Stegostoma tigrinum: one gene and its partner. The protein of the gene in region 1 purifies or fractionates together with the protein of each later gene. This does not show direct contact. Links are inferred from orthologs where the notes say so. Each region holds a gene or a part of one and is shown in the gene's direction. Other genes may lie near its edges. The genes, in order: hspd1 and NAD-dependent protein deacetylase sirtuin-3-like.

Evidence for each region.
Region 2: the proteins of hspd1 (region 1) and NAD-dependent protein deacetylase sirtuin-3-like purify together in Homo sapiens (affinity purification with mass spectrometry; 3 studies listed by BioGRID and IntAct, counting the BioPlex papers as one, with this or other methods). This does not show direct contact. The link is inferred for Stegostoma tigrinum from reciprocal best matches to the Homo sapiens genes HSPD1 and SIRT3.

The regions. Positions count from the first base shown.
Region 1 is NC_081360.1:31,734,795-31,751,380, forward strand, and holds the start of hspd1 (60 kDa heat shock protein, mitochondrial), read left to right. Parts: upstream 1-9,658; 5' UTR 9,659-9,782; intron 9,783-10,168; 5' UTR 10,169-10,171; coding exon 10,172-10,345; intron 10,346-15,767; coding exon 15,768-16,020; intron 16,021-16,586. Other genes in the region: hspe1 (10 kDa heat shock protein, mitochondrial), read right to left, coding at 7,572-7,622, 7,708-7,797, 8,122-8,286, 9,117-9,119. UniProt on the Homo sapiens protein: Chaperonin implicated in mitochondrial protein import and macromolecular assembly. Together with Hsp10, facilitates the correct folding of imported proteins.
Region 2 is NC_081370.1:34,913,253-34,929,635, forward strand, and holds the start of NAD-dependent protein deacetylase sirtuin-3-like, read left to right. Parts: upstream 1-9,067; 5' UTR 9,068-9,082; coding exon 9,083-9,092; intron 9,093-9,227; coding exon 9,228-9,390; intron 9,391-9,818; coding exon 9,819-10,004; exon of another isoform or gene 10,005-13,314; coding exon of another isoform or gene 13,315-13,331; intron 13,332-13,603; coding exon 13,604-13,836; intron 13,837-15,294; coding exon 15,295-15,395; intron 15,396-16,383. Other genes in the region: psmd13 (26S proteasome non-ATPase regulatory subunit 13), read right to left, coding at 2,551-2,585, 2,671-2,749, 3,493-3,587.

The DNA.
Region 1 (16,586 bases):
GGCAGAGACAGGCTGGGCTGGTTTTGGGATGCAGTGGGGGGAGGGGACAAACTGGGCTGGTTTTGGGATGCGGTGGGGGAAGGGGAGATTTTGAAGCTGGGGAAGTCCACATTGATACCATTGGGCTGCAGGGTTCCCAAGCGGAATATGAGTTGCTGTTCCTGCAACCTTCGGGTGGCATCATTGTGGCACTATAGGAGGTCCATGATGGACATGTCATCTAAAGAATGGGAGGGGGAGTTAAAATGGTTCACGACTGGGAGGTGCAGTTGTTTATTGCGAACCGAGTGGAGGTGTTCTGCAAAGCGGTCCCCAAGCCTCCGCTTGGTTTCCCCAATGTAGAAGAAGCCACACTGGGTACAATGGATACAGTATACCACATTGGCAGATGTGCAGGTGAACCTCTACTTAATATGGAAAGTCATCTTGGGGCCTGGGATAGGGGTGAGGGAGGAGGTGTGGAGGCAAGTGTGGCATTTCCTGCAGTTGCAGGGGAAGGTGCCGGGTGTGGTTCCCCCCACAGTGGTCGAGAACGCCCTTGACCGTGTCTCCCGCATTTCCCGCAACACATCCCTCACACACCGCCCCCACCACAACCGCCCCAAGAGGATCCCCTTCGTTCCCACACACCACCCCACCAACCTCCGGATACAACGCATCATCCTCCGACACTTCCGCCATCTACAATCCGAGCCCACCACCCAAGACATTTTTCCATCCCCACCCCTGTCTGCTTTCCGGAGAGACCACTCTCTCCGTGACTTCCTTGTTCGCTCCACACTGCCCTCCAACCCCACCACACCCAGCACCTTCCCCTGCAACCACAGGAAATGCCACACTTGCCCCCACACCTCCTCCCTCACCCCTATCCCAGGCCCCAAGATGACTTTCCATAATAAGCAGAGGTTCACCTGCACATCTGCCAATGTGGTATACTGTATCCATTGTACCCGGTGTGGCCTCCTCTACATTGGGGAAACCAAGCGGAGGCTTGGGGACCGCTTTGCAGAACACCTCTGCTCAGTTCGCAATAAACAACTGCACCTGCCAGTCGCGAACCATTTCAACTCCCCCTCCCATTCTTTAGATGACATGTCCATCATGGGCCTCCTACAGTGCCACAATGATGCCACCCGAAGGTTGCAGGAACAGCAACTCATATTCCGCTTGGGAACCCTGCAGCCCAATGGTATCAATGTGGACTTCACCAGCTTCAAAATCTCCCCTTCCCCCACTGCAATTCAAAACCAGCCCAGTTCGTCCCCTCCCCCCACTGCACCACACAACCAGCCCAGCTCTTCCCCTTCCCCCACCGCATCCCAAAACCAGCCCAGTTCGTCCCCTCCCCCCACTGCATCACACAACCAGCCCAGCTCTTCCCCTCCCCCCACTGCATCCCAAAACCAGCCCAGCCCGTCTCTGCCTCCCTAACCTGTTCTTCCTCTCACCCATCCCTTCCTCCCACCCCAAGCCGCACCTCCATTTCCTACCTACTAACCTCATCCCACCTCCTTGACCTGTTCGTCTTCCCTGGACTGACCTATCCCCTCCCTACCTCCCCACCTATACTCTCCTCTCCACCTATCTTCTTTTCTCTCCATCTTCGGTCCGCCTCCCCCTCTCTCCCTATTTATTTCAGAACCCTCACCCCATCCCCCTCTCTGATGAAGGGTCTAGGCCCGAAACATCAGCTTTTGTGCTCCTGAGATGCTGCTTGGCCTGCTGTGTTCATCCAGCTTCACACTTTATTATCGTGGTGCCACTGATCTGGCTGCTATTGCTGCTTTCATCTGAAAGGCCATCCCTCCCCCTCCCCAACCTCTAACAGTATCCAAAACAGTTTACCTGTTTGAGCAGGGGCTCCTACAGTGTCTGCCCATGCTTACTTGTCTTCCTGGTGGTCACCCAACTCTTCTCTGTCTGTCTAGCCCTTACAGATGATGTGACCAACTTGCTAAATGTGCTATCCATGACATTCTCAGCCTCATGGATGCTCCATTGTGAATCCATCCTCAGCTCTAGCCTCTCCATGCAAATCAGGAGCTGCAGATGAACACATTTCCTGAACATGTGGTCACCATGGACACCGGATGTGACCCTGATTTCTCACATACTGCAAGAGGAGCATTCCATGGGCCTGAGTTCTCCTGCCATTTTGAGCCTTACCAACTAAAATCAACCTTATCAACTATAGCAACAGTCCAGAAACTGATTACACAACCTAATCCAATAGTCACCAAACTCAGGTCTTTCACTCCTAACAGACTACAACTACAAAAAGTAAGTCCTCATCTCATTAAGATTCTGCTTGTCCCTGAGCAGCCAAGCCTACGTCACTTTTTGAGTCATGATATCGGCTCCAGAGTTCCACCCCTAGATTCAGCTCCATGTTTACTCTGATGACTGGCACAGTGTGAAAGAGGTAGTTTGCCCCATTAAGTGTGCACCAATCCACAGACAGATTCCCCCCCCAGACCCAGCCTTCCATCCTATTCCTGTATTTACCATGGCCAATCCATCTAACATGCACGTTTTTTGGACTGTGGGAGGAAATCGGATCACTGAGCAGAAGCAGGGAGAACGTGCAAACTCCACACACACTGTCAGCCAAAGCTGGAATTAAACCTGGTGCTGTGAGGCAGCAGTACTGACTGCTGAGCCACCTTGCCACTCACAGCACTAGGTTCTCTCTTTCAAGTCATGCTTCAGCAAGACATAGCCAGTTTATCTTTTCAATCAATGTAGCAAAAGTCAATGGGAAATCATGTTCTTTCAAATTCTGGAAAATTGCAGCAACTCTTATCAGTCTGTGACGTCAAAGTCCCACAAGAGCCAAGTAGCAGATTACACAAAATTTGTAAAATGAAGTAAATAGCTAAAAGCTTGTAATAAACTTTGAGAAAGCTTTGAAAAGTTGCTGCAAGGTGGATACTGTGGCATGTTTGTGCACTGGTCTTTGAAGGTGGCAGACCAGATTAACAAAGCAGATATAAATAGAGGCCAAAAGCCAGGAAGTTATATGTAAAATTTGTATCAAACAATTATTTAGAATATTGGGCAGAATTTGCTCATCTTAAATTAGTGTTTAGTTAAGATTCAAGGTTTAAAGCAACTTTTCTTGCCAAAAATTGTAAATGCCACCATCAGACCATTTATTACCTTTGGAATTGTGCCCTGTACCCCTAAATCCAAGTATTAGAAGTTCAAGTGATCGTACTACTGAGTGGCATAAGAGGATATGCAGGAACTATTCTAGCCATTGTCATAATCTTTCCTCATGGTCAAATTATTCAATTAGTGCTATAAAACAACAGAAGTAGAAATTGTATAAAGATCTAACTACTTATTTGTCTGTGCAAATTACTCACGTGTTCTTCAGATCTGAAATTTCAGTTGATCTGCATAAATTCATGATAAACTCAGTTCAAGGATTTAACTTCACAGTGACATATGATCTCCAAGCCAAGGGGGAGAAAAGTCACATTTTCATTATCAGTACTATAACATATCACTCTTAGCACAATACAGTTACTACCTTACATTGTAAGGTCAATACCACTTGAATAAATCAAATATGCAGTTGAGTAATCCCAATTATAGAACCACTAAACTGTGACACTTCCCTTTCACCCCCACTTCATCTCTGGCCAAAAGCTTTATATTCACATTAATCTATTTATATCGGTGGGGCAGCGTGGTGGCTCAGTGTTAGCACTGCTGTCTCACAGCGCCAGGGAGCCGAGTTTGTCTCCAGCCTCAGGTGACTCTCTGTGTGGAGTTTGCACATTCTCCTTGTGTCTGTGTGGGTTTCCTCCCACAGTCCAAAGATGTAAGTGAATTGGCTATGCTCAATTGCCCATAGTGCCCAAGGATGTTTAGGTTAGGTGGGTTAGACATGGGAAATGTAGGAGAATTGATCTGCGTGGGATGCTCTTCGGAGGGGCAGTGTGAGGTCATTGGGCCAAATGACCTGTTGCCACACTGTAAGGATTCTATGATTCTATGAAGTATCAGTTTAAGAATATTAGCAACAACGAAGGAGTATGTTAACGGCAGTTTGGACTGAAATTACAAGTAACTGTAGTTAAGGCATAAACTTGATTGACTAGATTCAAAAACACAAATTGCATTCATGAACCAACTCTCATGACTTCAGATAACAGAAGATTTGGAAGAGATGAACAGTATGCAGTGACAGCAATATAATATCAGCTATGATAGACGCAGGAGAAGGATATAGTGTGGTCAGCAGTCCATACCGTAGAGAAGGTAAACTCAGAGAGAACATGAGGACACAGGAAAGAAAGATGCTGATTCAGACAATGAACATAGGTAACCTTGATTTGGTTGCTAAAGGCAGGGACAGATAGCCAGATAGTGACAAAGTCCATGCGCACTCACACTTGTCCATCTAAACTTATGTTCTCTCTCCTCTGATATTTACTGCCCTTTTATTGTCAGTCCTTCCATGTGACACTCTAACCCAGTTTGATGGTCACGCCCTTGACCTTGTCATTTTCATGCTGTCCTACTAGTCCTATCATATCAATTGCAGATAGGCTATCTCTGATCTCTTGCTTGCACCACTCACCATTCACATTCCCTCCATACCTCAAAACCAACTTCCTTCCATATCTGTCTCTAGAAAAATCTATCCTGCAATTTTACTTACAGCTGCAATTTCAAAATCTGAAACATCAAGCCTTTAGCTCTCTATTAACATTTCTGCAACTACTGATTTACTCAACTGCACCCTCATCTCCACCTTGGTGTCCTAGTCACTGTTAAACCATATGCCCTTCCACTGTGGCTGGTTCCTCAAAATGAACCACATCTCCAACTCCAAGGAACACAACTAAAACAGCAGATAACTGCTTTAGCCATCACTGCCAAATCTGATTGAATCACTAGTGGTCCTGCTGTTGCCAGTTAAACTTTGTCACTATTCCTGGATCATACTGAGAAGCCAGATTTCAGCTTCTTTTCTGTACTGCAGACTGTATTTCTAAGCCCTTCTTCCTGTTCACTCCTATCTTCGCTTTGAATGAGAATTATAATACTCTTGTCACAGATGACACAATCTAACCAGCTTGTTCTGCAATGTTTTCCACTTCCATTTCCACTAGCCCACCTGACTAAATTCCTTAAATGTTTCCCTGTGCCCGAGCACTGCACTCTCATTTTTCTATTTTCTGCCATTATCTCCTAAAGCCTTCAACTGAATTCATTTTGTCCATGAGATCTACCTTCTGGTCAAACTGATTACCCCTGCTGGCACCCACATCTGCTAATATTATGAATATCAGTTCTCTCTTTCTTCAGGTGTTGTTCTTTCCTCCTTTAAGTCTGCTTTAAATTACTCTGACTTCAAAAAAAAACTTGCCAACTATCAATTCATCTCCAACCTGCTTTCCTTTCTGAAGTCCTCGAAGACCAAATTCATTCCAAATTTTTTGATTGCTCCAATTAGGTTTCCACTCCTTCTGCAACCTCTGACATTACCATCCTCCAACATCTCTGCACTGTTACTCAGCAGATTGAAACTGTTCTCTAATGATTCTATTCTTATCTAAACATAACCAGAGAATCATTCAAAATGGAAAACCGAAAGAACTGTGAATGCTGGAGTCAGAAGCAAGACCTGAAATTGCTGGAAAAATTCACCTGGTCTGGCATCTTTGTAGAGAAAGCAGAGTTAACTCTTGAGTCCAGTGACCCTTCTTCAGAAATGAAACAAGTTCTGAAGGAGGATCACTGGATCCCTGGAACTGAAATGTTAACTGCTTTCTCTTCACTGATGCTGCCAGGCTTGCCTTGTTTTTTCCCGCAATTTCTGGTTTTGCTTATCATTTGGAATGGCTTCTCTTCCTGCTCCAACAACATTATCTCTCATTTTTTCTAGGATCGATCTTTGACAATGCCTTCCCATTTCTCGTCTACATGCTGCTTTTTTCAACATCAGTTAAAGACAATGCAATTTTTTTTACATGTAGCCTGATAACACCCAGTTCTATTAGCACACTTCAATCGTTGCCTTATTATCAGACTCATTATTTATCATCCATTCATGAAAGAAGAGTTACAGAGTGACAGGACCTAATGCAAATTTAGACATACGTAGCAAAGAGACAGCAGTGATGTCATTGGACAAGTAATCCAGACTCTCCAAGTTAATCTTCTGGGAAACATGGGTTAAAATCCCACCATGGCAGTGGTGAAATTTGAATTCACAAAGGGCTGTTACGGTAGCACCGTCTCTGGTCCAACATAGCTGGCTTCTCGTCCCATCTGCCCCAGTCACATCATGAACATGTCCAAAAAGGTCAAGTAAATTAAGTACACCTCTCCACTTCTCTACCTCACTTGCCTTTTTTGAGACACTCCTCAAAGCCTCCCACTTTGATCAATTGTTCATTTAATTTCATGTAGCTCTGTGTCCTGTTTTTCTTAAAATAATGCACTGTCCCAACACCTTTAATGTTTCATTACATTAAAAAGGGCTCCAGATATTGTTTCAGGTATAGCTTTAAGAAAGCTGTTGATGAATAAACAACTATATATCCTTGTTTTTCCAGGATGATCCTGGTGTATGGAGCAATTTTAGTAGAAGTGAGCAAGATCCAATAATGTTTCATATGATTACATCTAGCCTGACTGTGAATGGCCAAACCAGTTGTGCACCACATGTACTAAATACCCCTTGAACTGAAGTAAAGCTGGGGCTAAATAACCAGAGAGAAAGGACATTATGGAGGTGAAAATAATCAATCAACAGGGGAGGCGACAGAGCAAGTGCACAGATCAAAAGATGAAGTAGCGCGGCTAACAGAAGGCCAATGAGCAGCTGAAAATAGCATTTTAATTGGAGTTTCTTCCAGGTTATACCTGGAAGGAACTGAGGGTAGGAGAGAGCTGAGAGCAATTAGAAAAAGCAGCAAACAGATGTTGTCATATATATTAAATGATGGAAACAGGTCACAAGACAACACAAAGGACTGCCTTTAAACAGAATTATAGGAAGAGGAGGAGAAAAAGCAGTGAGATTGTGATTGTTGGTGTTTTCAATGAGGCAAAGCTGAAGGATGTAAAGAATGAGCATCTTATAATTAGGGTAGTCTTGGACGGACAGTACAGAATGAGGATTTTAAAAATGAGCAACGATAAAGAAAATTCCTCACTTAGAATGTATTGAAATACTTGTGTGTTTCATGCAAAATGAACTAGTACTTCTGCAGATCACTGTAGTCATATTGACAGTCTTAGATGCATTTTCCAGATGTCCATGGCACATTTACCAAGTGATTTTACTGCCACCCTTTCAAAAGTTGGAGTTTTCAAAGTGAAATGAATCACTTCTGAAACAAGTTGACTAGTTTAGATTCATAATTTTATGTTTATTATTGGAAAATTCAACTAGCAATGAGATCAATCACAGTAAAACAGAAACTTGTGTGTTTGACATTGAATTTATTGTACCAAAGCTGGAAAAAGTGGTATTTACAGACTAAGACAAAAAGACAGCAACTTCATGGAATGGCCAGTTTCTTAAAACTGAAAGAAACATCCAACATTCATGCTGTGTATTTTCCAAGAATATCTCCATCTCTAAACAAGTAGTAATCCTGAGGAAGAAAATAAAAATCATCAAGGAGAAAGAAATCAATTTCTAAATACAGTCAAAAGAACTACTAAGACAATAGTACCAACCTTATCATCCAAGACAACTTTAGTCCCTCCATATTCTGGGAGTAGAACTGTTTCACCAACTTTTACATTAACGGGGTGAATATCACCATTCTGAAATGAAAATGCAAATGATCCACAAATTAATGTTTGTGAACAGTGCTCTAGCCAAAGTTTATAATGCACCGTACAGAAATTTGCACTTTTTGCTTATCTGTGAATTTGCAGCAAGTTACAAGTAGTAGTACTTGTAACTTGCTGCAAATTCACAGATAAGCTTTCTAATTATACCTAAGAGAAATTATACCTAAACTTAATAAAACAAAACAGCAGGCCACTTTGGAACACAGTATAAAAATATAATCTATTGGATCAGACTTTGTTAATGTAATAATCACAAGCATTTAGTTGATTAGGATTTTGTTTTCAGAAAACTACCTTTACTCGGCTGCCAGGTCCAACTGCTACAACTGTTGCTTGAAGTACTTTACCCTGGGATTTTTCTGGAAGCATGATGCCACCTTTTGTTACCTTCTCTGCTGCCACCCTTTCCACCAAAACACGGTCAAAAAGGGGCAGAAACTTTTTAAATGCCTGTCCTGCCTGTTAAAATAAAACGTTTCAGTTACCTATTAACCAACAGGTTACAGACCACATATTGAAAGCTTTACCACTTCTGAGATCTACAAATAAAAAGGTCAACCCAAAATGAATCTTGAGAGAAAAAGTGATAGCTGAATTTTTTTGTTATAAAGAACTAGATAACCTGTCCTTAGACTGTTAGCTTAGTTTTCACAGCTATTATGAATATATATAAAATAAACTCCTAAATGTAACATCATTAGAAATAAAAAACCATGATCCAAATGCTGAAAATGTAACATATTACCTTAAGAAGGGCGTAAAACAGCAGCTGAAGATATTAATATGGAAAAAAATTATTTCTCAACATAAATGTTGAGGACATTTAAAAATCAAGCTCATTTGACCTTGAAACTGTCCCCAACATCAAATCTAAAATCGTTAAATAAGTTGCACGTAACAGATCATCATTTTTATCCAAATGTCGGTGTGGTTACATAGTAACAAACGTAGTTCTTCAATCCATTACTTTTGTTACAAACTGATCTGTAGTAGCGAGACAGGTCACAAGCACATTTGTCCTTTCATTCATCAGGATTGTAACCAGTCGGTGGCCTGGCGAATCATTTCCCTGCTAGAGTAGGAATATTTCAAAAGGATCATATTCCCTGTTTGAACTGAGCTATCAAACACGATAAATTATTTTGTATCCAGCACATGCTCAACTGGATTTAAAACAACGCAACTTACCATTTCAACATCAGGAAGTCACAAAAATACTTATCAAGAACAATACGTAAATCGGTTTATTCTTCTCATTCAGTATATCACAAACAAAAACGTAAGCTTACCATGCCTGCTACCACTTCCAGAAAGCACTAGAAATAAGACACCTCCCTGCAGCAGCAATTATGGCAGTCTCTCCACGTGAGGAAATACCTTCGAACCCGAAGACATGACCTCGAACGTCAGAGGAATGTTACATTTCAGAGGCATTTTCTAAACTGAAATCCACACCTGAGCAAAACTTTGGCAGCATTTTACACTCATAAACACCCAAAGTAAATTTTGTTGCAATTTTAGAGAAGAAATCAAGAAATAAAATTATTGCGCAATAGAACTGTGCACTTTGACCCAACCTACGTTAAGCGTCTGGAAGTTTCTGGAACTCGAACCCCTGAAGCTGTATATGAACTGCTTCGCGTGCCTGCTTTTAGTTACAAGTTGGTACTAAATCCTATGAGTCTGGTGCTGGGATATCCATTGGTGGTAGTGAGTAGGTGGCTATTTGCTTGTCGAAATGTTTTGGCAGCTGTGTACCTGGAAGTGTTGGTGGTGTTAGAGTATCCAGAGTAAGGGGCGGGCGGAGACTTCTCCCCGCTGCAAACCCACGTGTTCTCCGAGTGAGACTTGGGCTCAGTCCTGGCGGTTGTGTAGTTTGCGTAGCTGTGGAATTTGGTTGAAGCTAGGGCTATTACTGTCTTGTTTACTACTTGTTTTTCTAAATAAACATTTTAGTAAGTGGTATTATGCAGAAATCGGTTTGGTTCGTATATTTTTGAAAAATTTTGCAAGCTACAGGCGTTTCCTTCTATGCCAATGGATTGAGACAATGAATGAAGACGAGGAATCAGAGTTCCAATGCTGGATGTTAGACAGACTAGCAGTTACATGTTATCTTTACAGACCTGAAGTCTCTCTTAGTCTAATTTGAGGCATATTAGTTACTTTTGTTTTGCATTCCTCGTTATTTTGCGGATTGTTGAAGTACTTTAATTTGACCTTGTGACGTGTGTCCCCTAGCGACGTGTGGGGAGGCCCATGTTACTGACACCATACGCTTTTAAAAAATTTAACGTGTAGTTAAAAGGTTGATCGGTATTATTTCTCTTCTCCACTGCAGATAATGCTCCGTTTGCCAACCGTTCTACGCCAGGTAAGGCCTGTAACTCGTCTACTTGCACCTCATCATGCACGAGCTTACGCCAAAGATGTAAAATTCGGATCCGAAGCTCGGGCTATGATGCTGAAAGGAGTTGATCTTCTCGCCGATGCAGTGGCTGTAACCATGGGACCAAAGGTGGGTCAGCGTCTACTGTGGGCTTAGAACTCAATATGCAGTTTGATATTATGGAAACATTCCAAAATATTTATGCTCCTCAAAACTAGAATAAGTACTCATTGCGTTAGATAATGCCGACATCAATAGAAATAGTAAAACTGTTGATGATGCAGGATTGGCTTTGGACATGTACTTTATCTTTTTTGACAAAAACAGTTAGGATTATTAATACTTAATAGTAGAATGGCCACAGTTATTTGAGAACCTTCAAAAATATTCATAGCCACAATTTGAAGCTGCAACATTGTCATAATCTTCAGTATACCACATTAGCATGAGCTGCCCATCACAAGACAGGTGGATAGTGATTTATATTTTGATAACAATAACTGAGGCTGCAACTGGGACTTGATGCAGTGAATTTTGAGTCTGCTGTTTGGTGACGTGCATGAAAAATTCATGTCTGAACCAAGCCACCAAGAACGATGTATGCCAAATTTAAAAATTTATCAAGAGATATTAAATTAATTGAGCAATGGACAAACTTTCCTCATTCTTTGAGAAAAAGGAACTCTCATTTTTTTGCAGATCTAACCCTAACTTTGTCATCAAGCCTGCCGATAAGGGTGGCGCTGTTGTCTGGTGTACTGACCTCTGCCTTGCAGAAACTGAGCACCAGCTCTCCAATACCACCACTTAACTTCCCCTGGACCATGACCCTACCATGGCGCATCAGGCCGTTGTATCCACTGTGGTTACGGATCTCATTTCATCTGGTGATCTCTCTTCTCTTCTCTTCTCCCCCCCCCCCCCCCAAATCAGCTCCAAAGCTAATAGTCCCCCAAACCCGCACAGCTGATTTCTACCTGCTGTCAGAAATCCACAAATGGGACTGTTCAGATAGACCCATTGTTTCAGCCTGCTCATGCCCCACGGAACTCATCTCTTCCTACCTTGACTCAGCTCCCCTTGTTAGTCACCTAACAGTCCCCATTAACAACTATTCGCCCTCCCAGCCTGATTGCTAGCAACTCCTTTGTCTGTCAACTGTCTTTCTCTCTCTTCGGGCTCTATCCTATCATTTACTCCTATCCACCCACCTCCCTATTTTCTGCATATAAACTGATGTTTTCTCAGCCATCATCAGTTCTGAGGAAGGGTCCTTGGACTCGGAACGTTAACTCTGTTTTCTCCTCCACAGATGCTGCTAGACCTGCTGAGCTTTTCCAGCAACTTTGTTTTTGTCTGTTTTTTTCTTTGCAGTTAGTTTTCCTTTAGAATAAAATCCAGAAAAATGGTGTGTATGTCCCATAGCATGGATCTTCTTATTAGAAGCTTGATTTGAGCTCTTAAACAAAAACTAAATTAGTGTCAGTTTTAATTACCCTTAAATGTTTATACATTCTTGAAAAAAGTCACTACCTCTGTTCAAGCCCCTGAGAAAAATGAATTGTGATGAATTGATTTTTATATTGTGGTCCCAGCACATCAAGTAATGCTTGCTATGTTAACTTGTAACACTGAAGAAACCACTAGTTTCTGCAAAGTCATTCTTTGGTTTTCTTTCAGCTAGAAACTAGAATTTCACTCTTAAAAATACAAATTCCTCATTCCACATCTTCTAAAAGGCAACTGCAATAGGAGTCTGAGATTGCATGTCACAGTACTGTTCTAATAAACTATTAGCATTCGTCACTCTACCTGCTTGAAAAATTCACTGTCAACGTTGCTCTCACTTGTTTCATTATTAACCATAATACAAAGTCTAATCAATTTCTTACAAAGGATTAACTTAATTGAGATAACAAGGTGTGGAGCTGGATGAACTCAGCAGTCCAGGCAGCTTCAGAGGAGCAGAAAGCTGATGTTTTGAGTCTGGACCCTTCTTCAGAAATTGGAGAGGGGAAGGGGGCTCTGAAATAAACAGAAAGAGGGGATGATGATAGAAAGTGGATAGTGGATCACTTAGGTGGGAGAGAAGATGGACAGGTCAAGGAGGCAGGGATGAGGGGGGTGCTGTTCTTAGGACGTGGTCGGGAGTGGGGAGATTTTGAAGCTGAAAGTCCACGTTGAGACCATTGAGTTGGAGGGTTTCAAGGTGGAATATAAGGTTGTTGTTTTTCCAGTTTCTGGGTGGCATCGTTGTGATGCAGGAGGAGGCCCAGGATAGGCGTGTCTTCCAGAGAGTGGGAGGGGGTATTGAAGTGGTTCGCGACTGGAAGGTGTTATTTGTTGCGAACCGATCGTAGGTGCTCCACACAAGTCTCCAAGCCTCTGCTTGGTCTCGCCTATGTAACGAGAGGCCACATCGAGAACCGTGAATCCAATAGACCACATTAGTGGATCTGCAGGTGAACATCTGTTTAATGTGGAGGGATTTTTGGGCCCTGGGATGGGGGTGTAGGGGCATGTGGTAGCGCTTCCTATGGTTGCAGGGAGAGGTGGTGGGGCTAGTGGTGAGTGTGGAGTGGACGATGGAGTCGCAGAGGGAGTGGTCACTCCGGAAGACAGATAAGAGTGGGGAAGGAAGTCTATCCTTCATAGTGGGGTCAGATTGCAGGTGGCAGAGAATGATCTGTTGAATCTGGAGGTTAGTGGGGTGATATGTGAGGATAAGGGGAATACTATCTTTGTCTCTATCGGAGGGGGGGTAAGGACTGAGGTGAGGGAAAGACTAGAAATGTGGTCGAGGGCATTTTCAACCACTTTTGGTTGGGGGGGTGTGGTGATAGCAGTGCTTGAAAAACGAGGACATCTGGGATGTTTGGGAGTGGAACGCCTCATTTTGGAGAGGTGGAGGCGGAGGAATTGGGTATAGGGGATTGCATTCTTGCAGGAAGGTAGGTGAGAGGAGTTATAATCTAGGTAGTTGTGGGAGTCAGTGGGCTTGAAATGGATATTGGTTTCAAGGTGATTACCAGAGATGGAGACAGAGGGGTCCAGGCAGGAGAGAGATGTATCAGAGATGGTCCAGGTGAACTTAAGGTTGTGGTGAAAGGTGTTAGTAAAGTTGATGAACTGTTTGCACTCCTTGTAGGAGCATGGGTTGGCACTGATACAGTCATCGATGTAATTGTGGAAGAGGTGGGGCTTGGTGCCAGTGTAGCTGCAGGAGAGGGATTGATCCATGTATCCTACAAAGAGGCAGGCACAGCTTGGGCCCCTGCAGTTACCCATGGCCACTCCTTTCGTCTGTAGGAAGTGGAAGGAGTCAAAGTTGTTAAGGGTAAGGACAAGTTCAGTTAGGCAGATAAGGGTGTCGGTGGAGGGAGACTGGTTGGGCCTGTGAGAGAGGACGAAGCGGAGGGCCTTTAGGCCCTCTGCATGGGGAATGCGAGTGTACAGGGATTAGATGTCCATGGTGAAGATGAAGTATTAGAGGCCAGGGAATCTGAAATTTTGGAGGAGGTGGAGAGCATTGGTGGCATCCCAGACGTAAGTAGGGGGGGGTTCCTGGACCGGGGTTGGGGGGGGGGGTGCGGTGAGAATAGTCATGATAAATTTGGGGCAGGAGCAGGGGAAGGCAATGGGTCGGCCAGGGCAGTCGGATTAATTGAGATTTTCTGTCGTCTAGTTGTATACCCATTAAGATGGTATCTACTATGCTCATTAGTTTTGGTGCACCTTCATTATACTAGCCTTTAGAAGGTCCGTATGGATTTACTGTACACTAAAATAGTCCTTCATTGGTAGTAGCATGCAATAATTCTTGTAAACATTTGATGCCAGCCAAGTCAGTGAAAAGGTGATTTAGGATCCTAACCAGCCTTTGACCATTCCATTTGCCATAATATTTCTCCTTTCTGATTTATTGATTTATTCAATTGCACACTCAAACTCTTTCATATGTTACTGTCTAAAGTAGAATGTTTGTTTTTATTAAAGTTATTGATTCTGTTCAGTTTTTAAATTGCATGTTGAATTGATTCTGGAAGTGTAAATTTGTGTGCATTCCAGTCTCCAATTAATCTCTAGCTCTCATCCAGGCTTTTCCCTGGATAAGACCTGCCACCACAAGATCTGGCTGGATAAAAACTGTTAACTGCTATAGTGAACACTTATCATTTTCATCGTAGAATACAAAGATAACATCCTGTGCCTTTTCTCTTGCACACCACTTGCATCTGTCTTTCCCCTGTCTCCATCTCTCATCCGAGTGTGAGAAGTTTGTGGACTTCTTTACCAATAAGATTGGCAGAACTTCATCAGCTGCTTTTGTCATGTCCCTTCCCTCAGTTGGCTGGATGTTAATTTGCATTGCAGAGTGCCAACAGTATGTGTTCAATTCTTCAATGGCCAAGGTTAGCACGAAGGACTCATCAATTTCTCCCCTTGCCTGAGGCATTGTGACCCTTGGGTTAAACTCTTCAGTCATCCCTGTCTGTCATGAGAGCAGCCCTGTGATCTAGTTAAGATTATGGTGATTTTACCTTGACATCTGATAAACGTCCTTCCATGTTTCCTCTGTCCTAGCCCTGAGTGGTTTTTCCAGTTGCCCTGTTTGTTTATGACATTTTGTAAATGAGACCTATCTTCTTTATAATCTGAATCCTATTTCTAAAAACTGATCTCCGACTTTTCTCTCCAGGCCTCTGATATTAGCTAATATTGTAATATTTTCCTTTGAGTATTGTCCTCTGAAATCACTCTCTCACCCTTCGACATCACCACCTTTTGTAAAATACTGCTGTATCTCTTGGTTACAATTGCTTGACCAGTGGTTGTGCCTTGTTACCTCAGTCCCCAAAATCATGAATTCTCTTCCTCAACCCCTCTGCTTCTCTACTTCACTTTCCACCTTTTTAGGATTATTATTAAAACCTATATTTTCAATTGAGCCTTTGGACATCTGACATAATATCTCCTTCTGTGGCTCATCTTTGTTTGGCAACATGCCTGTGAAATGCCTTAAAAATATTTAATTTACCTTGAAGACAAATCACTTGTCACCTCTCATGTTAATCGCTTTTTCATCTGACCATGACCAATGAGATTGCCTTGAGCAGCTAACCTTTTTTTTAAGGTGAGTTTATAGTCCAATCTCATTGGGTTTTTTAAAATGGCCAGGGTATCCCGAGCTATGATGGGTTTCAGCACCATGTTTATCTGAAAGCATTCCATTACTTAGAAACTAGTGTGTTCGTAAGGGGCTTTATTGATTGTATAGAGATCAGACTTTTGTTTCCGGAGTGAGTGCGTACTTTTCTCCACAATTGCTTTCAACCAGTTAGTGATTTGCTCATTGGGAAGCATGCACTTCAAAGTTGCTTCTGGTTAAGACCTGCTCATTTTTGCAAGGCCTGGGAAGGCTGAAGGTGTCTGAAACCTTACAGTGCAACTGCAGATGTTGCTGCCTCTATGGTATTAGGACAACAAAATAAGGATAAATTCAAGTATGTGTATAACAAACAGCAATGTCTCAATGTTTGTTTTTATCTAGGGTCGAACAGTTATTCTAGAACAGAGTTGGGGGAGTCCTAAAGTGACAAAAGATGGAGTAACAGTAGCTAAAGCAATAGATTTGAAAGATAAGTACCAAAATATTGGTGCTAAGCTAGTACAAGATGTTGCCAACAACACAAATGAAGAGGCAGGCGATGGAACAACCACAGCAACAGTTCTTGCAAGAGCCATTGCTAAAGAAGGATTTGAAAAGATCAGTAAAGGAGCTAATCCAGTGGAGATAAGACGAGGTTAGTTCTTGATTTTTGTATTAAATACCAATGTTACAATAACAAAGACTTTAGCAAAGTATGCATTTGCCAAATGGTAGATTGCCATTACTTGTGTATAAATATTATCTACTAATGTTGCAGCGTAAAATTTGTATTTAAAATGACCATTTCTCTCTGAATTGCTGTGTTTAATTCAACAACATATCCTAAAATCTAGTGACACAATTCTTTGTTTCATTTTTTTGGCATTTAGTTAAGTCAGTGTGGCAGAGGCAAGATGTATTGTTGCTAGTCCCCAACCTGGATTAATTAAAGTTTAGTGACAGGAAAATTATACAGCTATTTGAAAACCACGCACTAAATGTATATGTGGTTGAAGGTGATTAACTGGCATTATTGGAACCCCATACAACTCAAAATATGGAAGAAAAGAGAAAGGAAAGAAGATAGCATAAGTCGAGCAATTGAGAGGAATTGCTGTTGTTAATACAATACCATAGGCATTTTAACTTTCACCATCGGGGCTTCTAGGTGACATTAGTGTTCCTGTAAGTTGAATGAGCATGTAGCCATACTCTAAAAGA
Region 2 (16,383 bases), on another chromosome or scaffold:
ATTCCAGTACAATGAGAAGTTCAGGGGTAGCTCCAGGCATACCCAACAGTACCAATCTGTAGTTACGTTTTGTTAAATAGCAGTAACAGCCAGCAATTGAGCTAAGCAATCCCACAAGAGAACAGATTAAGGGTCTGCATTCCCACTATATCACAGCATAAATGTGAACAATTAAGAAACTAACAGGAGAAAGCGGCTCCGTAAATATTGCCAGCGTTTGAGAAGCCCAGCACATTATAGTCATACAGCACAGAAAAAGAACCTTAATCCAACTCATCCATGCTGACCACATATTCTAAATTAATCTAGTCCCATTTGCCAGCATTTGGCCCATATTCCTCTAAACGCTTCCTATTCATATACCCAGCTCTGAACAGGTTAATTAGAAAATATCTAAACAGCAATAACCCATTCACTGACATTTAGTTTAGAATTCAGCAATTTGGGCCAGTCAGCTCACATCATTATAATCTTGCCCCAAAATGAACAAATGAGCTGCATGTCAGAAGCGAGGTGGGTAACTGCCCTAGACATCAAGGTGACATTTGACCTGGTGTGACATCAAGAAGCACCAGCAAAATTTGACAACGGGAATCCAAGGAAACTTCTCCCTCAGTTGCAATTTTATCTAGTACAAAGGAAGATGATTGTGACTGTTGGAAGTCAATTATTTCCACGGCAGGACATCACCGTAGGAGTTTCTCAGGGTAATGTCCTTGGTCTAATCACCTTCAGTTACTTCAATGACCTTCACTCCATCATAACATTTGATGTAAGGATTTTTGGCTGATCACTGCAAATTGATTGGGGCCTCAATTGGATATTTAAATAGTCCTTGACCATATGCTAGAAAACACGGATTACATTCAGACTTGGACTGAAAAGTACCAAGTACCAGATAATTACCAAAGCCAACAAGAGAGAATCTAATTATTTCCTCATGACACTCAATTGTAATTATCACTGAATCACATTATGTCAACATCAACACGCTAGGTGTTTTTACTGGTCAGAAATTGAATGAAACCAACAATACAAATACCGTGTCTATAACAGCATATCAGAGACTGGGAATTCTGCAGCAAATAACAACTCCTGACTTGCCAAAAGCTGTTCCCTATAATAGAAGGCACAAATCAAGAATGCAATTCATCTCCCCACTTACCAGATAATAATTCAACACCTCAAATATTCACTCCCTCCAAAACTGGCACAGTAACAGCAGTGCATACCAGATATAAAATGCACTGCAGAAACCCATGAAGTCCTCTTTCGAAGATGTCAACTCTTTCTATAAGGATCAGTGACAAAAAATTGGGCTCCAGGACAGAAAACAGCAAGTCATTCGTTTTTCAGACTGGCAGAGGAAAGTGGTTTTCCCCTGGAGTCATGCATGGGACTACTTTTTTTTGATACATATGTATGACTTTAATTGTGGAACATGGACTAAAATTTGAAAATTTTCCAATTGATGCCAAACTGAGTTGTGGCAAAGTGAGGATGAACATATCACCTGTGACAGCACTTTGCCAAACTATCAGAACCAGCAGACAAGTGGCATGTGAAAATTAATGCAGAAAAAACAAGGAATAATTTTGGAATAACAGATAGGTAGTGGCAATGTAGGCTTTTTAGCACATTGTTTAAATGTTTAAATAGAGGAGGAGCTAGGAATTCGTGCATATTGATCTTTTAAGGTAGCAGGGCTTTTGGGAAAATTAATTTGGAAGGCATAAGCAATCCTAATTCCCATAATCAGAGGTATTAAGTTCAAAAGCAAGAAGTTATGCTGAATCTTTATAGAACTTTTTCGGTCACAGCTGTAGTATTGCATCTAATTCTGGTCACCAGGCTTTAGGAACTAAGGAGCTACTGAAAGGCTGCAGAAGCTATTTACCAAAATTTGCCGAGAAATAAGAAATTGTTCTGTGTTTTTTACTCCTTAGAGCAAAGTAAATTTAGTGGAGATTTAGTAGAGGTCTATTACATTGTCTATTTTACCTAAGATTGCACAATGGAAATCTCTTCCCGTTATGTTATATCAACAATGCAGCACAGATTTATGACTCTCGGAGACAGGTGAAACAGGGGTATGATTTTGCCATGAAAGAACACACAAAGTGGTTAAAAAAAGGGTCTGGAATTCACTGTCTCTTAAAGTAGCAGAAATGGGGACAATTAACAATTGCAAGAAAACAAATTCAGATGAGCATTTAAGAGAAATAAACTTTCAGGGCTTCAGGGAGAAAGATGAAGAATTAAGCAGCTTGCTCTACAGAGATCTGTGATCTATTCCAGAGCAGACATGCAGTCTATGAACAAGTGGTTTCATTCTGTAAGTCACATCCAAGTCTCTTATGTCACTGGGAAAAGAAGGTGATAAGTTCTTGAACCAGGGGAATTATGGAAGAGGTACCAGCAGACAGAGATTAATATGGAATTGCACTAGCTCAAATTTAATAGAAAAGATGGCCTGAATAGCATCTTCCATGCTGTTAATTTTCAGTATAATATACTTTTAGGTGTAATTTTTAAAGAAGTATTTCTTACCTGTGTTCAAATTCACTAATAAAATTCTCATACAGCTGCAAAATAAAAGTTTTATTATATGATGAAAGAAGCCAACTAAAATTAGTATGTTGAAGGGAATGTTGAGGTTAAATCACCCACCTTGATCAGACCATCACCTGTGGCGAAGCAGGGATTTTGAACAAAGTTCTGGAGTCGGACAGTCAACTGGTGCCACAGTCTGCATTTAAAACAAGTCAGGGTTACAGCGTGGAGGCATCAGGAGCCATTAGCACCATCCAGAGGAAATCAACAACAGATACAGATGGCTCATTGTTGAAAACTGCTAGTTCCAGTATCCTCATCCTAACACAGAGATCCTCACTTCCCGCTTGTCCCAGATAACAAAGCGTGGAGCTGGATGAACACAGCAGGCCCAGCAGCATCTCAGGGGCACAAAAGCTGACGTTTCGGGCCTAGACCCTTCATCAGAGACGAGGATGGGGAGAGGGTTCTGGAATAAATAGGGAGAGAGGGGGAGGCGGACCGAAGATGGAGAGGAAAGAAGATAGGTGGAAGGAGGTGCAGTGGGAGAGAGATCCCCGAGGTTTGTCCGGAGGGTAACTTCTTCAGGTTAGGCATCCTTGGAAGAGGCTTCGCAATGAGGTTAAAAGGGTCCAGGCCCGAAACCTCAGCTTTTGTCCTCCTGAGATGCTGCTTGGCCTGCTGTGTTCATCCAGCTCCACACTTTGTTATCTCGGATTCTCCAGCATCTGCAGTTCCCATTATCTCCCGCTTGTCCCAGCCCACTTTATCCCGCCTCCTTTACCCGAAACCCCCAAAAAGAGTACAATGTCGGGACCGGCAAGGCCTGAGACAGACAGACACAGAGGGTTCAGAGAGAAGGGCCTGGGCAGTGACTCAGCGGGGGCCAGCCCAGGAATCGGGGTTTCGCTGTAACGGGGCAGAGAGGCTCTCACTCACTTTTTGTTGTAAAGCTCCTCCATTTGCTGCCAGTCAGGGCCGAGCTCTCCGGCCCCGATCTGCTGCTGTTGGAGGAACCCGCTCACATCCCTCATGGTGCCGGCTGCCTCTGTAAACCGCAGGCTCGGCTTCTGGCTGCGTCAAGGCCGCACGGCTCCAACCGGAACCGATCACTACAACTTCCGGTACTGTAAATACCGCAATATGGGGCACCGCAGAACTCAACCACCTTCATCACCCGCCACCGGGTACAATGTCCCCCATCCCCCCACCCCCGTTACCGGGTACACTATCCCCCATCTCTCCCCATTCCCCCCCATTACCAGGTACACTGTCCCCCATTTCCCCCCGCCCCCGTTACCAGGTACACTGACCCCCATCTCTCCCCCCCCCATTACCGGGTACAGTGACCCCCATCTCTCCCCCCCCCATTACCGGGTACACTGACCCCCATTACCGGGTACACTGTCCCCCATCCCCCACCCCATTATTGGGTACACTGTCCCCCATCTCCCCCCAGTACTGAGCACATTGTCCTGTCCCTTCTCTCCCAGTAGTTTGACATTTTTTTAACGGAATCAGTTCTTGAACAAACAACTCCGTGTAAGAGACAGAGGTAACACGGTTACTGTCTCTGTGTAAGAGATAGCATGAACTGGAGATGCTGGAGGAACACAGTTCCTGATTTTGTGTTCTTCCAACTCTGTAATCTCGGTCTACCTCCCCTTGACCAGGCTCCATTCCTTCCAATCCATCACCCAGGATTTGGGGATAGTAGGAACTGCAGATACTGGAGAATCTGAGATAACAAGGTGTCGAGCTGGATGAACACAGTCAACATGGCAGCATCAGAAGAACAGGAAGGCTGACGTTTCGAGCCGAGACTCTTCTTCATTTCTGAAGGAGGGTCTAGGCCTGAAACATCAGCCTTCCCGCTCCTCTGACGCTGCTTGGCCTACTGTGTTCATCCAGCTCGACACCTTGTCAACCCAGGATTTGGGAACTGGTCTCTGGGTCAGATTGAATTCATTCCCCTGTTGTGTCTCAGACCGTCCGACACTCAATACGTTTTATACTCAATCCTAGATTTTCATTACAGACTTCAGCCTATCTGCCTCCTGGCTGATCTGTACAAATGGCCCAACAGTCTTTCTCCATATTCCTGTGAAAGTAAATTAATCATCAACCCCTTTGGAAAGTGATACTTTATTGTACCCGAAGTGAAAACTTACCAGAAGCCTAAAGACAGTCCTGAAGAAGAGTAATACTCGAAATGTTGACTGTTCCTTTTCTCCAGATCCTGCATGGCTTGCTGAGTTTTTCTAGGCACCCGTCTGTGTATCATAAAGACAGACTTGCCTTTTTACTGTATTTACAAACTGTCAAAATAGCGACAATTTCAAAAATATCTTGAATATAATTTGCTTTATTTGGCACCCATCAGATAGACACAAATCAAAAGACAATACCCCGAGGTTTCATACTTGCCACTTCAAGCTGCCCCATTCAGTCACTTGGGGCGCATATTCCCTTCTCTGATGTTTTGTAACCAAATGCAAAGATGCTCAAAGAAAATGGAAATAAAGTTTTATTCTTGTTTTTTTTCTCTCTCCCTGTTTTGCAGTAGTGTCAGGAAGATTAACCTTTAACTGCTGGATCCTCCTTTGCTAATTCTACTACTCGCGGTGTCATATGGACTGGCCCAGTTTGTTTCTGAAGGGGCTGCTTGTTGGAAAGTTACGGTATTTGAAGACATTTCATCAGAGAGGCATCAGGTGAGAGCAGCTCTTGTTCAGACAGGGAATATTCTTCACATCAGAGTCCAGCTACCACCCAGAGGCAGCACATAGCAAGAGGTAACAATCAGCAATACCCTCTACACTGAGAATTGGAGCAGAGAGTGCTCTCATTTGCCCTCAAGAACCTGATTTACCATTCAGTAGGTGACTGATTCCTATCTCAATTTCACTTTTCTACCCTTCTCCTATATCCCTTAAGTCATAACGTTGTACAGCAAGGACACAAACCCTTTGTCCAAGTTGTTCATACCGACAAGATATCCTAAACTGATTTAGGCCCATTTGCCAGCAGGTGGTCCATATCCCTCTGACCTCTTCCTATTCACATAGCCATCCAAATGCCTCTTAAATGTTATAATTGTACCACCTCCACCGCCTCCTCTGGCAGCCGTTCCATGCACACGTCGCCACCTACATTAAATATTGCCCCTCAGGCCCTTTTAAATCTTTCCCGTCTCACCTTAAACCCTACCCTGGGAAAAAGACCTTGGATATTCATCCTGTACATGTCCCTCATGATTTTATACACCTCAATAAGGTCACCCCTCAGCCTCCAACGCTCCAGGGAAAATAACATCAGCCTGTTCAGCCTCCAATCCCAGCAACATCCTGTAAATCCCTTCCCTTGGTATTCAAAATCTATCAATTTCTGTCTTGAAATGTATACGCGATGATGAAGCATCGAAAGATTTCTGGGAGAAATAATTCCAAATGAGTCACAACCATATGTGAGAAACCATCTCTCCTGGGCCCATAATAATTAGGCTCCTATTCATAGACTGTGACCACAAGTCCCTTTAAGAATTTTATTGATTTTGAATTAGATCACCAGGCGTCTTTTCAAACTTCAGGAAATATAGGCCTGGTATACTCAAATGTCTCCTCAGAGGACATCTTGTCATCCCAAAAATTAACCAAGTGAACCCTACATTGCACTCCCAATGGGATAAGTATTTCCTTCCCTGGGTAAAAGACACACATTACTATTTCATAAAGACCATAAATTGTTATATTACAATATCTTTATTTCTTTAATCTAATTCTTTATAACAAAAGGTGACATTCCATTTTTAGGAGGCACTTGCATAGCAGTAATGTCATTGTGTTAGTAATCCAGAACCACAGGCTAATTAACGCTCTCGAGACATGGATTCAAATCTCACCATGACAAAATGGCTAACCCTCAGCTGCCCTCTGTGCAATTGGGGATGGGCAATAAATTCTGGCTTAGCCTTGGAAGCCCACATAACACGAACAAATACAGTAAAAGATGAGTGACTGGTTAGATTATCAGTCAGAAAATCTAATGAGGATATGTTGGACAGACTGGCCATGTTTGCACTTGAGTTTAGAAAAGTGAGGGGTGCCTTGATGGAAGTGTGGAAGATCATGAATGGTCTAACCAAGATGGACACACAATGCGTGCTCCTGGGATGCTGCTGGGCCTGCTGTGTTCATCCAGCCTCACATTTTATTAACTTGGACACAGAATGGATGCTTCTTCTTGAGGGTTAGTTTGAGAAACAGGGAATGTTGTTTTCAAATTAGTCAGTGCCCTTTTAAGGTAGAAATAGGATATGTTTTCTCTCAGAGGATTGAATGATTTTAGAACTGTGTGTCTGAGAAGGCAGTGGAAGCAGGGTTATTGATCTATTTTTAAGGTGGAGGTAGATAGACTCTTTAAGGCAATCACAGGTTTTCAGAGGTAGTTGTTATTGTGGAATTCAAAACACAAAAAAACCAGCCATAAGCATGTTGATTGGTAAAGCAGGTGAAAGTGTAAATGGCCCACTTGTGCCATTTTATATGTTTGTATACATACCCACATCTTTCTGTTCACCTGGGATCTATTCACACCAAGCTCTGTATACTCAGTATATACCCACATCGTATTGTATGGGTTCAGGAAATGTTGTGCATTGGACACAGGCCTATGCTTGATATATACCCATAATGAATGTACCCACACCAAGCACCCCACATCGATATATAAGTATACTGAGCATTGCCCATTCAGCGTAGATTCACACACAACACTGTACATCTGCTATACATTTATACTGATTGCTATATACCTGCACTGCGCTCTGCATGTCGAGAATATATGTTTGATTACTGGACGCCCAGCATATATCCCACAGAAGCTTCTGTGCACCTATATGTATTGATCCTGATCCCTCGGTTTGGCTCCCTCAAAAGTACAATGCTCCGCTGCTTCTTCTACAGTACTGCTCCATTTGCAGTGCAGCGCTTCCTCAGAACTGTGTCCCCCTGTAGCGCAGCGCTCCAACCTCCGGATACAACGCGTCATCCTCCGACACTTCCGCCATCTACAATCCGACCCCACCACTAAAGACATTTTTCCAACGCCACCCTTGTCTGCCTTCCTGAGAGACCACTCTCTCCGCAACTCCCTTGTTCACTCCACACTCCCCTCCAAACCCACCACACCCGGCACTTTCCCCTGCAACTGCAGGAAATGCTACACTTGCCCCCACACCTCCTCCCTCACCCCCATCCCAGGCCTCAAGAAGACTTTCCATATTAAGCAGAGGTTCACCTGCACATCTGCCAGTGTGGTATACTGTATCCACTGTACCCGTTGTGGCATCCTCTACATTGGGGAAACCAAGCGGAGGCTTGGGGTCCGCTTTGCAGAACACCTCCGCTCGGTTCACAATAAACAACTGCACCTCCCCGTCGCAAACCATTTTAACTCGCCCTCCCATTCCTTAGATGACATGTCCATCATGGGCCTCCTGCAGTGCCACAATGATGTCACCCGAAGATTGCAGGAACAGCAACTCATATTCCGCTTGGGAACCCTGCAGCCCAACAGTATCAATGTGGATTTCACCAGCTTCAAAATCTCCCCTCCCCCCACTGCATCCCAAAACCAGCCCAGCTCGTCCCCGCCTCCCTAACCTGTTCTTCCTCTTACCTATCCCACCTCTCCTACCTCAAGCCGCACCTCCATTTCCTATCTACCAACCTCATCCTGCCCCCTTGATCTGTCTGTCCTCCCCAGACTGACCTATCCCCTCCCCACCCATACTCTTCTCTCCACCTATTTTCTCCTCTATCCATCTTTGGTCCGCCTCCCCCTCTATCCCTATTTATTTCAGAATCCTCTGCCCATCCCCCTTTTCTGATGAAGGGTCTAGGCCTGAAACGTCAGCTTTTGTGCTCCTAAGATGCTGCTTGGCCTGCTGCGTTCATCCAGCTCCATACTTTGTTATCTCGGATTCTCCAGCATCTGCAGTTGCCATTATCTCTGCTCCCTCAGTACTGCCTGTCTTACAATACAACAGGCTGGCAGTAATACTTCTCACACAATACAGCGTTCCCTTGATCCTGCTCCTCCCATAGCACAGTGCTCCCTCAGTACTGCTCTCCCCACAGTGTAGTGCTCCGTCAGTCGTGCTCCCCGAGTACTGCTCCCCCTACAGTGTCACGCTCCTTCAGTACTGCTTCTCCTATAATACAGTGCTCCTTCAGTACCACTACTTTCACAGTACAGGGTTCTTTCATAGTGTTCCCTCAGACCTGCCTCTCCTATAATACAGCATGCCTCAATTCTTCTCTTCTCACAGTACAGAGCACTCTCACTTCTGCTCCACCCACAGTACACTGCTCCCTCAATCCTGATCCTCCTTTAGTGCAGTGGTCCCTCAGCACTGCTTCTCCCATAATACAGTGCTCCTCCTTTGGTGCTTCTACAGTGCAGTGTTCCCTCTACTGCACCTCTGCAGTCCAGCACTCCCTCACGACTGCAGTGTAGTGCTGCCTCAATGCTGCATAGTGAGTATCACCATGTACTTTAGGCTTTGGAGTGGTGCTTGACTCCATGACCTCTAAATCAGAGGCAAAAACAAAAAGAATCATTGAGCCACATGTGATACATGATAATTGAATTGTTTTCTGTCCTTATTTCAGTTGGAAACATGAGTTTTGCATTGTATCAGAGTCTCACCTGGACCCAGCCTGGTTTCTTTGCTACTCGATGGTTACAGTTTAATCATAGCTGCATCAGAAATTTCCAAACTGGAATCCTGACTGGACTCAATATTTGCAGACAGGCACACAGCAAGGGCTCAAGGTACAAAGCATACATAAATGAGTTGTATTTACACTCCCTGAAATTGATAGATCAAATATTGTGTTTAAAGTAATGATGATGTTAACAAGTTAACAGTGATCTCACAAGCATTAAGTACGGAAATCAGGAAGCTGGTATTTAAACTGTTCTGCTCCTTCAGAAGTTTCATTTCACCTGTATGTCACTGTGAGGCTCAGCATTCAAACAATATGGAAATGTTGAAGCAGGGTGAAGTTGATTTGACATTGAATTGACTATTCTAATCTGTTTCAGACTTCTAGAGTTTGATCAGTTTTGGAACGTGGTCCTGTGCTGTCTGGGATTGCATTAGATACTCGCGGAGAGCAAGGATGCATGTAGAACTCAAACCTAAAATTATTCAGGATGGATTCTAGTCCATTCTGTGGGTGTTTTATATATTGTTACAGAATCCGCTGTGTGAATCGTTCATCAACCTCATCTTTTGTCCGGTACATCTTCAGTGGGAAAGGAAGTGGTGAGAGAGTGCAGTCACTTAAGGACATCGCAAGGCTCATTCGGAACAGGGAGTGTCATAGGATTGTGGTGATGTCTGGTGCAGGAATCAGTACACCCAGCGGAATCCCTGATTTCAGGTATCCCAACCCTGGCATTAGGAATCTCATAACTGACCACCAACAGCAATGACAATCAACCAGTAATGTTACTGTGCAACAGACTATCGATGTGATTAATCTGAGGACTATAACAATGAGTAATGGACTGCACTGTGCTGTTATCCAGAGAAGCACGTTTGTTTCCCCTCTCATGTAGAAGGAATGATACTTTACATAGAATCTTAACTCCCAACAGTTTTTAAGGCTGGGGATCAATTGAAAATTTCAAGGCTGCAACTGATAGATTTTTGTTAGGTATTGAGGATTATAGAACCAGTGCAAGTAGATGGAGTTAAGATACTGATCAGGCATGAATTGAATGTCAGAGTTGACTCAAGGGCTCATTGGTCCTTTCTATTCCTGTGTTCCAAAAGCAGGAATATAAATCCATGGTTTCCAGTCTGATAGTTGAGTTTTCAGTGTTAATTGGAAGCTCAGTGTTACCCAGTTGGTTAATAGTAGGGCTACATGTATGATAAACAGTCTATAGAATCTGTTTAAAAGAGTCTTTACATGTTGCAGGAAACAAGGCTCAGGACTGAGGCTGCAGCAGTATCTCCTAATGAAAACAAGATTTCGGTTAAATATTTTTTATTTGTATTTGAAGTATGTCAAAGTGATATTCAGTTGTGTTATGATCAATATTTCCCACTTGGCCTTTTACAATAACATTTGCAGTTAACCTTGCTTCATTGCACAATGCTAAATTTAATTTAGATTTATCCCTTGTTGGTTCCACAACATATTGCTGCGGAAACGGCCATGAAAACATCTTGCAGACAATCTTTTCCAATTTAATTAGTCCAATCAATATGAAGATAAACATACTCCACAACTATTACAAATGCCAATAATTTCTTGTTTAATTCTTCATTCAGTGTATATCTACAGTTAAAGGGCCTATAAACTGTCAGCACTTTTTAACTCTTACCAGTCCTAATCCACCCAATCTGATTCTGTTTCCCGACTTTCTGAACCAAGTTAATTTTTCACAGATGTCCTTATGTTATTGTTAATTATTAGTGCTAGTTAATCCAGTAATATCTATTTATCAAATTAAATGGCTTATTAATTGCTCAGTATTTTTGATGTGATGGGAGCATAATATGGAACAAAATTAGACAGTTTCAGAGGTATTTCTAAATCAAATACTTGAATTGTACGAAGCTTCGAAAGAGCCATTATAGTCAGAATCAAGTAATTTGTAAAGTAAAACCAAAGAGCTGCCAATGGTAAAGATCCGAAACAAAATCAGAAATTCTTTGAGAAGCTCGGCGGATCTGGCAGCATCAGTGGAGACAAAGCAAGAGTTAACATTTTGAGCCCAGTGACTCTTCTTCAGGAGTGATAGTAGCTCGGAAAAGGTGGTATTTATGCTGATAATGGGGTGATTAGGGTGGGTGAGGAGCACAGAGAGTCCAGAGAGACACAAATAAAGTTAGGCAGACAAGCACATAGTTCGTAGTAAGCCAGGAAAGGAGAAAAAGCTGATAACAGTGTCCATGAGTAGGCGAAAGCAGCATTAACGAGTATATGGTGTGGGTTTGGCTAAAGGACATGGAAGGTAGAGTTCAGGCTGTAAATTTGTTGAATATGATATCGAAGGCTACATAGTCCCTGAATGTAAGACGAGGCGCTGTTCTTCCTGCTTGCGCTGATCCTTGCTGGAACACTGCAGAAGTCAGAAATATTGCCCGGTGAGCACATGAAGTGGCAGGCAACTGGAAGCTTGGGGCCATTTTTATGGACATAAAGTGGGTGATCTGCGAAGAGGTCACCCAGCCTGCGTTTTGTCTCCCCCGTGTAGACGGGATCACATTGTGCACAGTGAATACAGCAAAATAGATTGAGTGAAGTGCAGGTAAATCATGGCGTCACCTGGAAGGTATGACTAGGGCCTTGGATAGTGAGGAGGGAAGAGGTAAATGGATGACTGTTACACCTTCTGCGATTGTATGGGAAATTGCAGTGGGAGTGTGGGGTGCACTTGGGAGTGGGGAAGGAGTTGACCATGGTGTCCTGGAGGGAATAGTTCCTGTGAAATACTGACAAGGGGAGGAAGGAGAATAGATGTCTGGTGGTAGCATGTGGCTGGAGGTAGTGGAAATGGCACCTTATGATACTTGGTATACACGTGTAGGTGGGTGGTAACTGAGGACCAGGGTGATCTTATCACTATTGTGGAAGGGAAGGGAAGGGAAGGGCTGAGGGCCGAAGTGCAGGAACTGGATCAGACACAACTAAGGGCCCTGTTAATCACAGTGTTGGCGAATCCTATGTAGAGGAAAAGGTGGGAATTTCTGCAGAAGGTGGCATCATCAGAACAGATGCAATGGGGATGGAGAAACTGGGAGAATGTGATGGAGTCCTTACAGGAGATAGGGAGTGAGGATGTAACCTCCAGGTAATGGTGGGAGCTGCTTGACTTTTAGTGGATATTGGTGCCAGCCTACCCCCAGAAATGTAAACAGACAGTCGAGGCAGGGAAGGGGGCAGTCAGAGATGGATCAGATGAAGGTGAGAGCATTGTGGAAATTGGAAGTAAAATTGATAAATTTTCCCAATTCTAAATGCGAGAAGGAAGCAGCACCAATGATGTCATCAATTTACCAGAGAAAGAGTTCTGGGGAATGACCCAAGCAGGACTAGAACAAAGAATGTTCCACGGACACACAGAGACAGGCATAACTAGGGCCCACCTACCCACTCACTCCTCCTCCTCCCCTCCCCACTGTGGTCAGAATAAATACCACCTTTTCCTAGCTGCTGTCAGTTCTGAACAAAGATCACCGGACTTGAAATGTTAACTCTGCTTTCTGTTCATAGGTGTTGCCCGATCTGCTGAGTTTCTCCAGCAATTTTGTTTTTGCTTCAGATAATCTGTGCTTGCTAGAATGAGGTTATTCCTCGCACTGTTTCTGGAGAAATCCTCTTGTTCAATGACATATTCCTACCCAAGCTCAGTAGGTGAGGGAATTGATCAATGTTTCCTCGAAGCTGCACGCGTATAGCGGCTCCAGCCTTCTGTATGTGGCAATCAGCACCAGCATATCTTGTCACATCCTTATCTTGCCAACTCCACTCTCTCTGGTAACTCTTTCTGGGTAACTGCCTGTCCTGCAATCTCTGTAGTTTAAATGGACTTTGGCCCAGTGTTGATCGAGTGTTTTTTTCTGTGTTGGTGTCTACAGGTTCTCCTGATAAGTTCACCCTTGTGAGAAAGCACCGAGCTTCTAACCCAGGGAGACTGAAACACATATTTCCGAAATGAACTCAGGGCCATCAACACATGACTGACTTGTTCGGGTACCTCTGCAGGGATTTGGTTTATGTAAAAATTCAGCGCTCAATGTGAATCAATTGTTGTCATCTTGCTTTCTCCCCTTTCATCTCCAGGTCAGAAAGAACAGCAACAAATGATTGGCTTTCTCCTGAGTTGTGGAAATGTTTGTTCAAGATCATTGTGTTCTGATCTGTTGCTGTGATGTTCTCACAAAATGGATGAAGTGGCAAGTTGGAATCATCCTAGAAATTGATACTAACTGTTTTAGTTTTCATTTCCATTGTTACATATTCAGGTCACCAGGCAGTGGACTCTATGACAACCTACAAGAATATGACATCCCATACCCAGAAGCCATCTTTGAAATCAACTACTTTTCCCACAATCCAAAGCCTTTCTTTGCTCTGGCCAAGCAGCTGTACCCTGGAAACTGCAAACCTAACTACACACACTACTTTGTCAGACTTTTACACCATAAAAAGTTACTGCTACGAATGTACACTCAGAACATTGACGGCCTGGAACGCAGTAAGTAGGTTTAAGTGTTGGAAAAATAATAAAATAGAGCTCATGGAGTTAGAAATGAAATCAGCAAGGATGGTTTTCAAAGGGTGTTGAAATGTGGAACTGCCATTCAAATGCCAGTGGATACTTGATTCAGTTAGAACTTTCAAGACTAATTTTGAGCAATGGGCTGGCAAGGAATGATGCGGGGGTAAGTACAGAAGAAGAATAAATCAGCCTTCGTCTGATAGAATTCCAGAGCAACCTGGAGGGCTGCGTGGCCTTCTCTGATTCAATGTAACTGTTTAAGGGAATGAATGGCTTCCTTGTGTTACTACGAAACAAACTGAAGGAACAGAACGGCCTTCCCTGTTAATGTTTAGCAGACTCGAGGAGCTAAATGATCTGCTCCCGCTGTTTTCTTGTATCAGAGGTTCAGAGGCTGAATTCCTTTGTTTACAGACTGAATGGCATCTTCCGCTTGCTCTGTTCTAATTTTCAGATATGGGTACCCGCGTTACAATGATGCCCACATGTGGCCAAATGTTGCCCACATTTCTGCAATAGATGTCTGGAACACAAGTGAACACAGACTTGTGACTTCGCTGGAGCTATTGTATACAAAGCAACTTTAAAAATAAATTATTTCAGAAAGGAATTGAACAGGCAGTTGAGGGAAGGAAATGTCCAGTGCTATGGGAGAATTAGATTGACTGCATTGTTTTGGAGGGAGCTGGCATTTATTGAATGGGCTGAATGACCACTTTCTTTGCCATGTGAATTGTGACTATTATTAGTGTGCTGGGCTTCTGGTGAGTTGTAAAAGTGTAGTGAATTAAAGACAATGAATTATAGTCACTGAATTACAGAAGTCACCATATTGAATTATAGTAAGTGAATTATAAAATTCACCATACTGAATTGTAGTAAGTTAATTATGATATTCACCATATTAAATTATAAACGGTGTATTATAGAATTCATCATATTGAATTATAGCCATTAAGTTACAGAATTTATCGAATTAACTTACAGTCAGTGAATTATAATATTCCCCATAATAAATTATAATCAGTAAATTATAGAATGCTACAGCACAGAATGAGGGCTGTTGAAACATTGAGCTCGTGATGACTGAAAGAGCAATTCAGTCTATCCCGCACTTTTCCCAATGTCTTGATAGTTTTAAAATCCTTTGAATATATCCAGATCCCTTTTCAGTCTTCCTTTTGAATCAAGTGACCACTGTCTAAAATCCTATGCTGAGCACTGCCCACAGAATCTCTCTGTATAGACATTGAGAACAGGAAGTTGATTGAGATGCCCCCCACAGTTTAGTAGTCACCTATTCTAACAGTGCAGGTGGTTTGTTGATGGATCCTGAGAAGAGTCTGAAACTTTGGAACCCAGGAAGGGTGAGGACATCAGCGGTGCATCTTTTCATCCCTCAGTGACTGCCTTCTCTCTCCCGCTGCATTTCAGTGGCTGGAATCCCAATGGAGAAATTGGTGGAAGCTCATGGAACATTTGCTACAGCGACGTGTACTGTGTGCATGGAGAACTTCTCCTGGGAACAGCTGAGGGTAAGTGACTTCAGACAATGAAACATTACTGAAGCAAAACTATTAGATAACCCAGAACACTGACTTCAGTCTCCTCTGAACACTGACCACAATCCCCCCGGATGCTGATCCAGATCCTCATCATGTACACTGACCCCAATTCACCTTTGCTCCATCCACCCCAGAGACTGATCCTGACCTCCTCGAGGAATAAAAACAAAGTTGCTGGAAAAGCTCAGTAGGTCTGGCAGCATCTGTGGAGGAGAAGATAGTTAACGTTTCGTGTCTGGTGACCCTTCCTCAGAATGCCTGAGGAAGGGTCACCAAGCCTGAAATGTTAACTCTGTTTTCTCCTCCACAGATGCTGCCAGACCTGCTGAGCTTTTCCAGCAACTTTGTTTTTGTTCCTGATTTACAGCACCTGCAGTTCTTTTGGTTCTCCTTTAGGAATAATTCAGTGCTTGGCTGTCAGTCTGTGTACAGTGTCTTCTACAGTCAAAGAATCACTTGCTTTCCGATTAGCTCTGAACACCTCCCAAATACATTCCAAGTGTGATCTACATCAGCTGGATTCAAATTTTCTCACCTCTTTATCCCTGCTGGTCTTTGTGAAGGTGGTGCTGATCTGCTTTGTTGAACAGCTGCAGTCTTTGGAGAATGGGATCCATATAGATACTGTTAGGGTGGGAGTGCCACAACTTTGACCCAGGACAGTGAAGGAAAATGAAATCCTTCTAATTCAGGATGCTGTGTGACTTTGTGGGGAGCTTGTAGCCGATGGTGTTCCTATATTCCTGCTGACCTGTCCTTCTGGGTGGTAGTGTCATAGGTTTGATAAGTGCTAGTAAAGGAATGATGGTGAGTTTCTGCAGTGCATCTTGTGGCTGATACAAACAGTTGCCACTGTTCATAGTGGCGATAGGAGTGAATGAATGAACAGCATAGATGGATCCAGTTCAAGTTGGCTGCTTTATACAACATGGTGTTAACCATCATGATTGCTGTTGGA